Saccharomyces cerevisiae S288C: one gene and its partner. Changing the gene in region 2 together with the main gene of any one other region gives a genetic interaction. Each region holds a gene or a part of one and is shown on either strand. Other genes may lie near its edges. The genes, in order: INP52 and ROY1.

The links.
Region 1: of ROY1 (region 2) and INP52, extra expression of one rescues a mutant of the other (dosage rescue), as found in Saccharomyces cerevisiae (one study listed by BioGRID).

The regions. Positions count from the first base shown.
Region 1 is NC_001146.8:420,444-426,800, forward strand, and holds INP52 (phosphatidylinositol-3-/phosphoinositide 5-phosphatase INP52), read right to left. Parts: upstream 4,053-6,357; coding exon 501-4,052; downstream 1-500. Other genes in the region: YEATS domain-containing protein YAF9, read left to right, coding at 1-335; 2-isopropylmalate synthase LEU4, read right to left, coding at 4,452-6,311. UniProt on the Saccharomyces cerevisiae protein: Dephosphorylates a number of phosphatidylinositols (PIs) like phosphatidylinositol 4,5-bisphosphate (PtdIns(4,5)P2), but also phosphatidylinositol 3-phosphate (PtdIns(3)P), phosphatidylinositol 4-phosphate (PtdIns(4)P), and phosphatidylinositol 3,5-bisphosphate (PtdIns(3,5)P2).
Region 2 is NC_001145.3:781,941-786,013, forward strand, and holds ROY1 (Roy1p), read right to left. Parts: upstream 2,342-4,073; coding exon 680-2,341; downstream 1-679. Other genes in the region: PET111 (Pet111p), read right to left, coding at 1-91; tRNA methylation protein TRM732, read right to left, coding at 2,681-4,073. UniProt on the Saccharomyces cerevisiae protein: Non-SCF-type F-box protein involved in the endocytic with the vacuolar sorting pathway. Acts as a repressor of YPT52 by inhibiting the formation of active, GTP-bound, YPT52. Involved in the defense mechanism against methylmercury toxicity.

The DNA of each region.
Region 1 (6,357 bases), on a different chromosome or scaffold from region 2:
GACTTCATCCTTATGCTAATCCTGTACCGAATTCCGACAATGGAAATGAGCAGAATACAACAGACCATAATAGTAAAGATGCAGAAGTTAGTTCTGTGTATTTTGATGAAATTGTATTCAATGAGCCAAATGAAGAGTTTTTCAAAATTTTAATGAGCCGACCAGGAAATTTGTTACCTTCAAACAAAACTGATGATTGTGTATACTCCAAGCAATTAGAACAGGAAGAAATTGACAGAATAGAGATCGGCATAGAAAAGGTTGACAAGGAAATTGACGAATTGAAGCAGAAACTGGAAAACTTGGTAAAACAAGAAGCCATTAACGGAAGTTAGGATCACTGCACCCGGAACAACGGTATTTTCATAACAGCCATAGTAATACAGATCATGGTTTGAAAGGTCGGCGCTCACAAAACCGAAATGTGTGCAGAGTCATATAAACATCTAAACAACAGTTATGATACATATTCTATAAATGCGTAATTTTAGTAACACAATTTAATTGGGGTCGCAAGGCTTCAATGGATGAACGCTTAGCTTCTCTAGTTCAGGGTTCTTCGCAGGAACTTTTGGTTTAGACTTTTTCTTGCAAGGGAGTTCCTCTTCAGATTTTGAATTCGACGGGGAAACTTTTATTGAGTGTTCTTGAGAGGTGTTAAGCTTGTTAGCAGCAACACTTAAATAATGCGGTTTTTTGACAACTGGTGGCTTCTCAGGTTTTGTGGAGGCCTTTGCTGGCTCAGGATCTTCTGTAGTGGACACACCTGAATTTTTGGTAGATGTAGAGATTTCGTCCGGGGCAGTACTGCTCTTCCTTCTAATAGGAGGACAAGGTCGAGGAACAATTTTCCCATTATCTATGGTCTCTTTAGCATGCTGTAATTCTGAAGAACTTTTCTGTAAAGAGACTGGCTTAGATAAAGATAAAGCGGGCACTGGCGGCAGTGGTTTGGGTGTACTGTGTCTCTCTAAGGCAGGAAGATTGCTCTCACCTTTACGCGGCGATACGCTGACAATGGAAATCTCTTTGGTAGGGGAAAGAAGTTTAGAAGATGGTTCCTTATTGTGCCTCGAGGTAGGAGGAGGCGGAGGAAGCACATTGAGCTTACTTTTATCGGGTGATACGTTACTGAGTCCTCCAGGGCCAACAACAGACGGTTGGGGACTGGGACCAGAAAGTAGAGGCGAAACGCACGAGGAAGTATCATCTAGGTCAATTAGTTTTATGCCCGCTGATTGAACGGTTGCATCTAAGGGTATACTTTCCTTTTGTTTTTCCATTCTTGCATGAGAAAGTTCGTCAGGACCTGTAGTTAGTGCTTCGGGATGCGTATTCTTATATTCTGCATACAGCTTCTCAACTAGGTTAAGCTTCTCTTTTTCGTCAACAAATTTCACATTTGCCCTATATGCAGCATAAACTGGTTTATGATCGCTTATTTTTAAAGGTGCGTCCGAATATGCCAATGGATGCAGGTTTTCACCTTTATATATGATTCTATCAGTCCAAGACGGAGTTCTCGCCTTTTCAGAAGTATCATAATTATCTGTGCCATAATCATATTTATAGGTCGGACGGAATTGGAGGGTCGGTTCTTTAAAGCCCTGAAATACCACTCCTTCATTTATTTCTTGAGTCAACTGATCATATTGAAGCAATCTATCAATATAGCCATCCTTTTGAGCCCTTAATTCTCTTCTAACTTCATCATTTGTCAAAGTTATCCTGTAGTTAAGGTCACCCAACCAAAACAACGAATCATGGTGTGGAATTGTCTTTGATCTTGGAAAGGTTATGTTCCTGTAGATATTGTTGTAGTCATTGCGACGTTCGTCAATGTTACTCGCACCTGCTGATAAATGTGTATTAACGAAACAGAATGAAGTTGCCCCATAATCGAATCTAATGGCTACTGCACCTTTGTTTCCAGTAATACCACCAAACCCAGTCTTTTTGGTAGACCCACCTACCTCTTTTATGTTATAGGCTCTATCTGATCTTGCAAAAAATAGTATCAAAAGAGAGGACATCTGTTCCACTCTAAGTAAAAGATATTTTTCTTCGTATTGATTCAAACAGTCAGTAACCATAGTTTCCCAAAAAGAACTTTTCGTATAATCTGCATTCAAGATAGACCCTGCGGTCAACTCTATAACTTCCTGCAACCCTAACACAACGACATCAGGTTTGAATTTATCGCCGATTGGAAATAACCATTTTGACAAATCTGCTCTTCGAGAGTTTCCGTTAACATTGAATGTACCGACAAACAAATTTATGTTAGAATGAGTGGTGAATTTTTCCTCTGACTCTAACAGCCTTTCATTGACGTATTCGCAGATTGGATCATAAAGTTCAACAACTTGCTGGTGCGGTAGTTTGCCCAAAAGTGTGTCAATATTTTGCTGTTTTCCTTTATCTACAAAATTGTTGATGTACATTCTACTAACGGACTTCGTCGCATCAGAAAGGGCGCCAGAAAAAGACATTTTACCTTTCCTTGAATAGGACGATTTCAGAGCATTTGTCCCAGTGTAAATTTGTGATATCTGATCTCCGTTGTCGGCCCATAAAGCATTCACCTTTTGCACAAATTCATTATCGTCGATGAAACTACTGGGTTTTACCAATCGGAAGTCTTCCAAAAATAGTTTGAAAACGGCCAGTGAAATCGTCTGTTGGATCAAATTTGTTCTATCTAAACAATCCAAGCAATTGGTTCTAAAGACACCGTCTTGTTCGGATATTAATCGCCCTTCTTTTACATCGTATGAAAAGTAACCGGCGTCCAAAATTGTGTTTCTTATTTTAGGGATAATCCTACTTGCAGCTGCAAACCCATCTTGCGAAGTTTCTCTATGGAAATCAAAGCTTGTTAGGAACACATCTCTACCGATTTTCATTTTCTCAGAATTTTTCAACTGTTCCTTGTATCGCCTCGATAATTGAATTTCTGAAGATTTAGTAGACAGCAGGTTGATTATATGAACTGGCCCATACTTCTTAAATAGTCTTATAAAATGTTCATCAAACGTGGGCTGTGTTGCTTCAACAGATCTGGTAATTTGAATCTTTGGACTAATCAAAGATGTATCCTGCTCCCAAAAAATTGGAAGGCTTCCTCTTATCTGCGTGAAAGCATAACAATACTGAGAAGAGTACATAATCATTTCTGTTTCAACAAAATTTGCGACATGGCCATCATCATCTATACCACGTGCATTAAACCTTGTGCCTGCTCTTTTCCAACTTTGCCTGGAAATAATGGTAAGTCCTACTTTCAACCTATTAATATAGCTAAAAATTGTTTCAGCAAACCCTCGGATTACGGTCGTGAGGAATCCTCGTTGATCCAATAGTTCTTTGGCCGTTACATCTAGTCTGTCTCTGTATGTGATGATTTCGTCCATAAGAAACGAGTTCCACATAAACTCCCGGTCAAAATCATCAAAACTCAAAGAGTGTTCCGTGAATCCACGTTTCTGCAATGTACAAGTTAAATCAAAATCGGTGCTGTAATAAAAAGATCCATTTGATAATAGCTTTCTTAGTTCATGACATGGATGCTTGGGAGCTTGTTCTTGAGCATTCAAACTCCTAGAGGAAGAAGAACGTAGCGATGATCTAGAAGAATGTGTGGAAATACTAGGAGGCGAGCTTATTGCAAAATCTCCATCATTAGTAACAATCGGATAACCGGATGAATCGATGTCCATGAAATCCCATTTAGAATTATTTAAGCAAAAAAAATCCACAGCATATATTTTGTTAACCGTTTTGTTTGGGATCGGCTGGGCCACCTTAGATTTACCTGTTATGGTTGCTATGAACATAAGGCCTTCAATTTCTATGAGACCAATAAAACCGTATATTTCATGGTTAGATAGTCTTCTGAAACCATTACCATTTAATTCAGCTTTCGGAACCAATTCCACGGCACATGTAGATCTGCGAGAGTTCTTACTGTTTATTGGCCTAAATACCAGTCCATGTGTTTCTGAAACTATTGCTATCTTTCTAGTTTGCTGTTTCGATAGGAGTATTTTCATAGCTACTGAGTATTTGTTTTTGATTCTGCTGCCTTTGCGTGGCCTTTGTCACCAATTCTGCGAACAAAAATATGTTGAGACTATATGAAGCGAGTACTTATTGTCCTTTATGCCTAGTTTTCCAGTTAAATCTCTCTTAATAACTCCAGGTTTGTTTCAATTTCGTCACTAACCGCCAAACAAGTTTCGGGTCACCCCACACGTATTTGGTTCAAGAATATACTAAAAAAAGAAAAACAAGCACTAGCCCTAGATATGGAAAAAAAGATATTAAAACGTAATTCTAATTTAGACATCCGTGCTTCTAGTAATTATATGGTTAAAAAAAAAGGAAAGGAAGTAAATAAATAAGTATAGAAATAAATAGAAGCGAATAAGTCCTGAAATACAGAAAAGTTCTTATGCAGAGCCAGATGCCGCAGCATTCTTACCTTCGACCTCGGCCAAAGATGGAATGGACACATCACCAGAATGGATAATATTGTTAATGGTGGCAAAGATGGCTCTCACTGAAGAATCACCGACATCTTCGGAGACACCTACACCCCATTTGTAGGCCTTTTCGTTGTCGGCATTACGCCTATACGATAGATGGATGTAAGAAGCAGCTTGCGTAGAAGAACCAGAACCTAGAGAATGCTCTGTGTAGTTTGCTACGGCAAATCTCACGTTCAACAAGTTTGATAGGGCGTCGACCAAAGAAGAGATTGGACCATTACCTGTACCTTCAATATCGACGATCTGGTCGCCTACTTTGACTTGACCAGTGAACACTCTACGTTCAGTGCCGAATTTTTCAACATTATAATTGACTAAACTAATAGCTTGGTACTGTTCGTCATTGTAGTTGTAAGCCTCTTTGAATAACTTGGAAATCTCATCTGATTTTAGTTCTCTACCCAAGGAGTCAGCATGGTCTTGAACGGCGCTAGAAAATTCGATTTGCATGTTTCTTGGTAGATCCAAACCCAAAGATCTCAAAATAACCCAAGCGGCACCACCTTTACCAGACTGAGAGTTGACTCTGATGACAGCTTCGTAATCACGGCCAATGTCCTTTGGATCCAATGGCAAGTATGGGATTCTCCATTGAGTTTCACCTTGAGCACGCTTCTTGTTTTGTAAGTTGAAACCCTTCTTAATGGCGTCTTGGTGAGAACCGGAAAAGGCACAAACGACCAAGTCACCGCCGTATGGTGCTCTTTGCGATACTGGGATCTTATTACAACGCTCAACCACATCTAGGACAGAGGTCAAGTCAGAGAAATCCAAATTAGGAGAAACACCTTGGGTATACATATTCATAGCAACAGTAACCAAGTCCACATTACCTGTACGTTCACCATTACCAAAGAGACATCCTTCTACACGGTCGGCACCTGCAAGCATACCTAACTCTGTGGCGGCGACACCGCAACCACGGTCATTGTGACAATGTGTAGAGATGCAAACCTTCTCACGCTCAGTAATATGGGTAGCGAAGTATTCAATCTGATCAGCATAAACATTTGGAGAGGCAACTTCTACGGTAGCAGGTAAGTTGAAAATGATTGGATTTTCCTCGGTAGGTTCCCAAGCCTTCTTAACAGCTTCGCAAATTTCTACAGCAAATTCACCTGGAGTATCACTGAAACATTCGGGGGAAAACTCATAGGACCAACGAGTGGCTTGTTGGGAAGGGTCATCCTTAGTTAGTTTCCTAACTAGTTTGGTGGCCTCTACTGCCTTGGAAATAGCTTCCTCTCTAGACATATTAAAAACAATTTCACGGAACATATCACTTGTTGCCAAGTAAGTATGTATAGTAGCCTTTTTAGCACCTGTTAATGCTTCCACCGTTCTCTTAATCAAGTGTTCTCTAGATTGGACAAGACATTGAATACTAACATCGTCTGGGGCGTTTTCTACAGCATATCTAGTGAAGTCGAAATCTGTTTGAGATGCAGAGGGGAAGGAAACCTCGATTTCTTTGAACCCAATATTGACCAGCTTGTGAAAGTATTCTTTCTTTTGTTCCACTGACATGGGATCCGGCAGAGATTGGTTACCATCTCTCAAATCTGTTGATAACCAACGAGGAGCCCTCGTGATCCGGTTATCCGGCCACTTTCTATTAGATAGCTTTGGAGCGTTAAATGGCTTGTACTTGGAGGAAGGGTCCTTAAGCATATTTTTATAGGCTAGCTTCACTGGAGGAATAACTCTTGAGGCTCTGGAGGCCGCATGCTCAGCAAGAGCAATAATACTCTCTTTAACCATGATTGTTCCTTGTCTTTTTGTAAGGAAAAAGTCTACAGTAAACTTC
Region 2 (4,073 bases):
CTTTAAAGAAAACAGTGTGCATAACCTTGTTTGATTCTCTGTGAAGTAATCTCTTTATACCACTGGAGGATATAAATCTCCGTTGTAACATTAAGTTCTCGTAAGCAATTGTTTAAATTTAATAGGTAGTGATAAAAAATTTGACGATATCAAAGTTGTGGTGTAATTAATAGAATACATGAAAAGTTATGATCAACATAAAAATGCTCTATACCAGATAGAATTTTATAAAAAAGGAAGAGAATAAAACGATAATAAAAGGAAAGACAGGTTAAACGATTGGAATGGGGTCTTCAAGTTACAAATCTAGAGGAAAGTGTAGACCTAGTGCAGCAATTGTAAATTTTGAACCTTTCTGTGGGGGGAGGGGTTTCTCAAAGTATCAGATAGTATTATGCACGGTAAATAAAGCCTAACAACAAGAAGTCCAAACAATAAATAACAACCGTTTCTGATCCTTGGATCGTATACAGAAGCTTGTTCATTTCAGTTTTTTCATTGTCTCTTCCTTCGGTATGCCTACCTTTCTGAAATATATGGTTATTATTCGAAGAACTCGTAAGGTCCGGGTAATAATTATGAAATGCAATAGTAAAATATAATTATTACTCAACTGGCTGTATATATACGAACTCCTTCAACAAATGTACATAAGAAATGTTTATCACAACTATCAAGTTTAATCATAAATAGTTTCATAAGTGTGTAATTCTGGGCTCACGCTAAAGTATATTCCTGACAACATAGTTTGGCGAAGGTTTGGCAATATCTTTATCAAGTAGTTCATGTAAGGATAAAAAAAATGCGATATAATAGTGGCTAAGGGCTCAAATGAGGATTCGTCAAAATAACATTCATAACTTGCAAAGTGATGAATTCTCTCAAAGCCATGGAAATTCCACGTCGTATCCTCAGGGGCATACTGTAGTAAATCCAAATCCCAGTTCTTCTGAGGATCAAACCTCTTAGCTAGAGATTTTCCAGTATATGCTGCAAACACTATCGGTATAATATCCAAGTATCTTGCATCCGGGGTCGAAAAGTATTGATGATTCATGATGTACTTATCAAATAATGGTAAGTATTTGGAGCAGAACGCACATTTGCAGCCGTTCCACAAAAGGTCACACGCATACATTTCATATGAGGTGATGGACTGCAATACAGTTGGAGCTATTATTGTTTCCAACGAAGTTAGCTTTGGTAAAACCTTTTCATAAAGTTTTTTACGGCGAAGCAAGTTCCCATCAACAGTATCAATGCCCTTGCCATTTAAAGGTGGGTCATGTCGTATGCTTAACAAACGCAAATCTTTACTCACGTTTGGTAAATTTAAAATAAACTTATTAACGACCAAGTCCCATTTCTCGTCCATGTAATGGTACCCTTTTTTGGTGAATGTCTTTTCAATGAACCCCAGACTTGTTAAGGAAACAAGGTTTCCTGTTATATCTTGAAGAAAGTCATCATCACATTCACAGTCGTCCACCTCACAAGAAAATTCTAATTCAAGGGCTTTAAGATTGGATAAATTAACTACATCCTTAAACGCGCGTGAAGATAATCTCATAGAAGTAGCACTCCCATCACCTTGTTTGTGAACATGATTAAGCTTCAAACGGCGCAGATTCTTGAAGCGGAGGTTCAGGGAATCAAAGTATTCAAAGACCCTTAGGCTTGAGTACGCTTCGTCCTTTATTTCTAACTCTCCTCCATTAAGTTGCTTCATTAACATTACACCCACTTCAGGGATTATTACGTTTTGCAAATCCAACGATTCAGGTAATTGCCATTTTAAGCTTTTGAAGTTTTGCCATAATTTGATACCATCAAATCCAGTTTCGCCATATACTACTCTCTTCTTTAAACTTGACAGGCGATAATACTTTGCTGAACATAACTCAAACAAGGTAGGATCCTTGATGTCAAGACTTTCAATCACGTCCAAGTCAGTGATTTCATTGACCAATCTTTGTAACAGTTGCAATCCTTCTTCCCTGTTGTGAAACAAATCCTCGTCAATAGTCAGCTGTTTTATACATTTTAAATGCGATGTCTCCAACAACCTTTCAATTCTATCATATAAAAATATGTCATTCTTGTCACCGGTTTTCAGAACAGATCTATAACCACTTACATAAGTTTTTCCCCCGTCCAAAAACCATTTGTTTGTTCTTAAAACAGGATTCTTAGTTATGTGAATATTGCTATAAAGACGAGGGATTGCAATCATGTCATGCATTTTTTTGGATGTTAGACTTAGGCTTAATAAATCATTTTGATTAAGAAATAAGGAGGCATGCGAGAACACTATGAATATATCTTGATCTTGGAATGCCATTTGTCAGTATTACTTTTGTTATATCATGTGAGCACAACTGTCGTTTTCACAATAGTTCAAATTGACTAGAGAGTTAGTAAAGGGGTACAACTTGCTTTTGTAATAGGGCACACCTTTAATTTTCCATCCATGAACATTTTTCAACAAAAAAAGAGGTGGAAAAAATTCAAAAGAAAATGACAACGGTAAAGAAATTAAATCAAGTTCCATCATTGTATTTAGAATAGAAATCGACATGCTTTGTAATAGGTTCCACAATGAATCTCGTCACTAAATCCACAAGTAGGTTAGAGATGAATCAGATTATATGCAAAGTATATATCTGTACATATTCATTATTTATAATTGGGAATAACTGATAATTAGGGGATGAACAGAATGTTTAGTCAGAACATTGATAAAATTCTCATAATCAGAAGGAGAATAATGTTGAATCAGTTCCTTTAAAAGCGTTATTCTTGAAAATATTTCAGCATTAGAGCACCAGCCGAGTGGGGAATCTTTAAAATCCTCGGTGTTGAAGTGCTCCAATAGAGCACTTTTTAGGTGATGTATCTGGTCTTTGTAACACTTTGAGATATCCCTTCCAGTCAATTTTATCATATTTAATATATGCATTGCCTTTTGTAGTTCGTTGATGAACTGGTTATCCTTTTCTATAGTAAATAGACAATTCTTCGCCGATTCTTCGGCAGCAAACATATCATATTCATTTAGATATTGAAACAACTGTAAACACAACTCTTCTACCACCTCAGAACTTGTGAATACGTCAACAAACTTTTTTGTGAATATAAGAGCGGTCACACTGGTGTTCCTGTTATATTCCCAGTCTGCAGTTTGAATAAAGTTCTTATTCAAATAAAAAGAAGCCTTTTCTCTTATTTCAGAATCATCGTCCCATAAGAAGTTGTACAGTTGTAATAGTATTCTGGAGTTCTTACAACTTTCTGGATAAGCAGTTAAACATTCTAAAGATGCCAATCTAAAATCTTTTGAACAAGAATCGGCGAAAAATCCTTGTAACAAGTTCCATACCTGGTGAAAGGTTTGCGAAGACAATTTAGCACTTAGTGATGAAACGGCAGCAAGTTTTGTATCTTCACTATTATTTGTTTTTAGGAGATCAGTGCAGGTCGTCAGGGATAAAGTATTCTTTTTTCTTGAGAGAATTTTCACTACTAAAGCTTTAGCCATAGGCAGCAAATCTGGAACCCTGAGTAATAATTGTAGTTGTTCAAGAAATTCTGAGTTTCTTGTAGTTTCCCAGTGAAAGTTAGTATTCATGTACTGTAGTGTACTGAGCTGAGCCTCATAAAATGGAGAATACAATCCTAATAAGCAAATATCATCGAGATATATACTATCCTCATATTTTAAGAGCATGTCTAAGATTTGTGCAAGATATAGCTGTTTGCTACCATCCACAACATATTCGTTATTTTCAGCAATAAATGTGTTCCGCAAAGTGCTGATATAATCTTTTAAAATAGAATCAGGTATGTCGCATGTTTCCAATATACAGCAGGTCAATTTTAAGTAGGCCTTTTTAGTGATAAAGCACTTGTTCTCTAGTAGAAGCATCCTTTTCTTTTCAAGTATCCTTTGAATCAACTCCATATCTCTAGTTCCTGAAAGGTATTGTGGTACTAGTTGTTGGAGTGCTAGTAAGTGTCCATGTAACTGGTTTTGCTTCGCGATAGAAGCCAAGTCAAGTAATTTTCTTATCTCT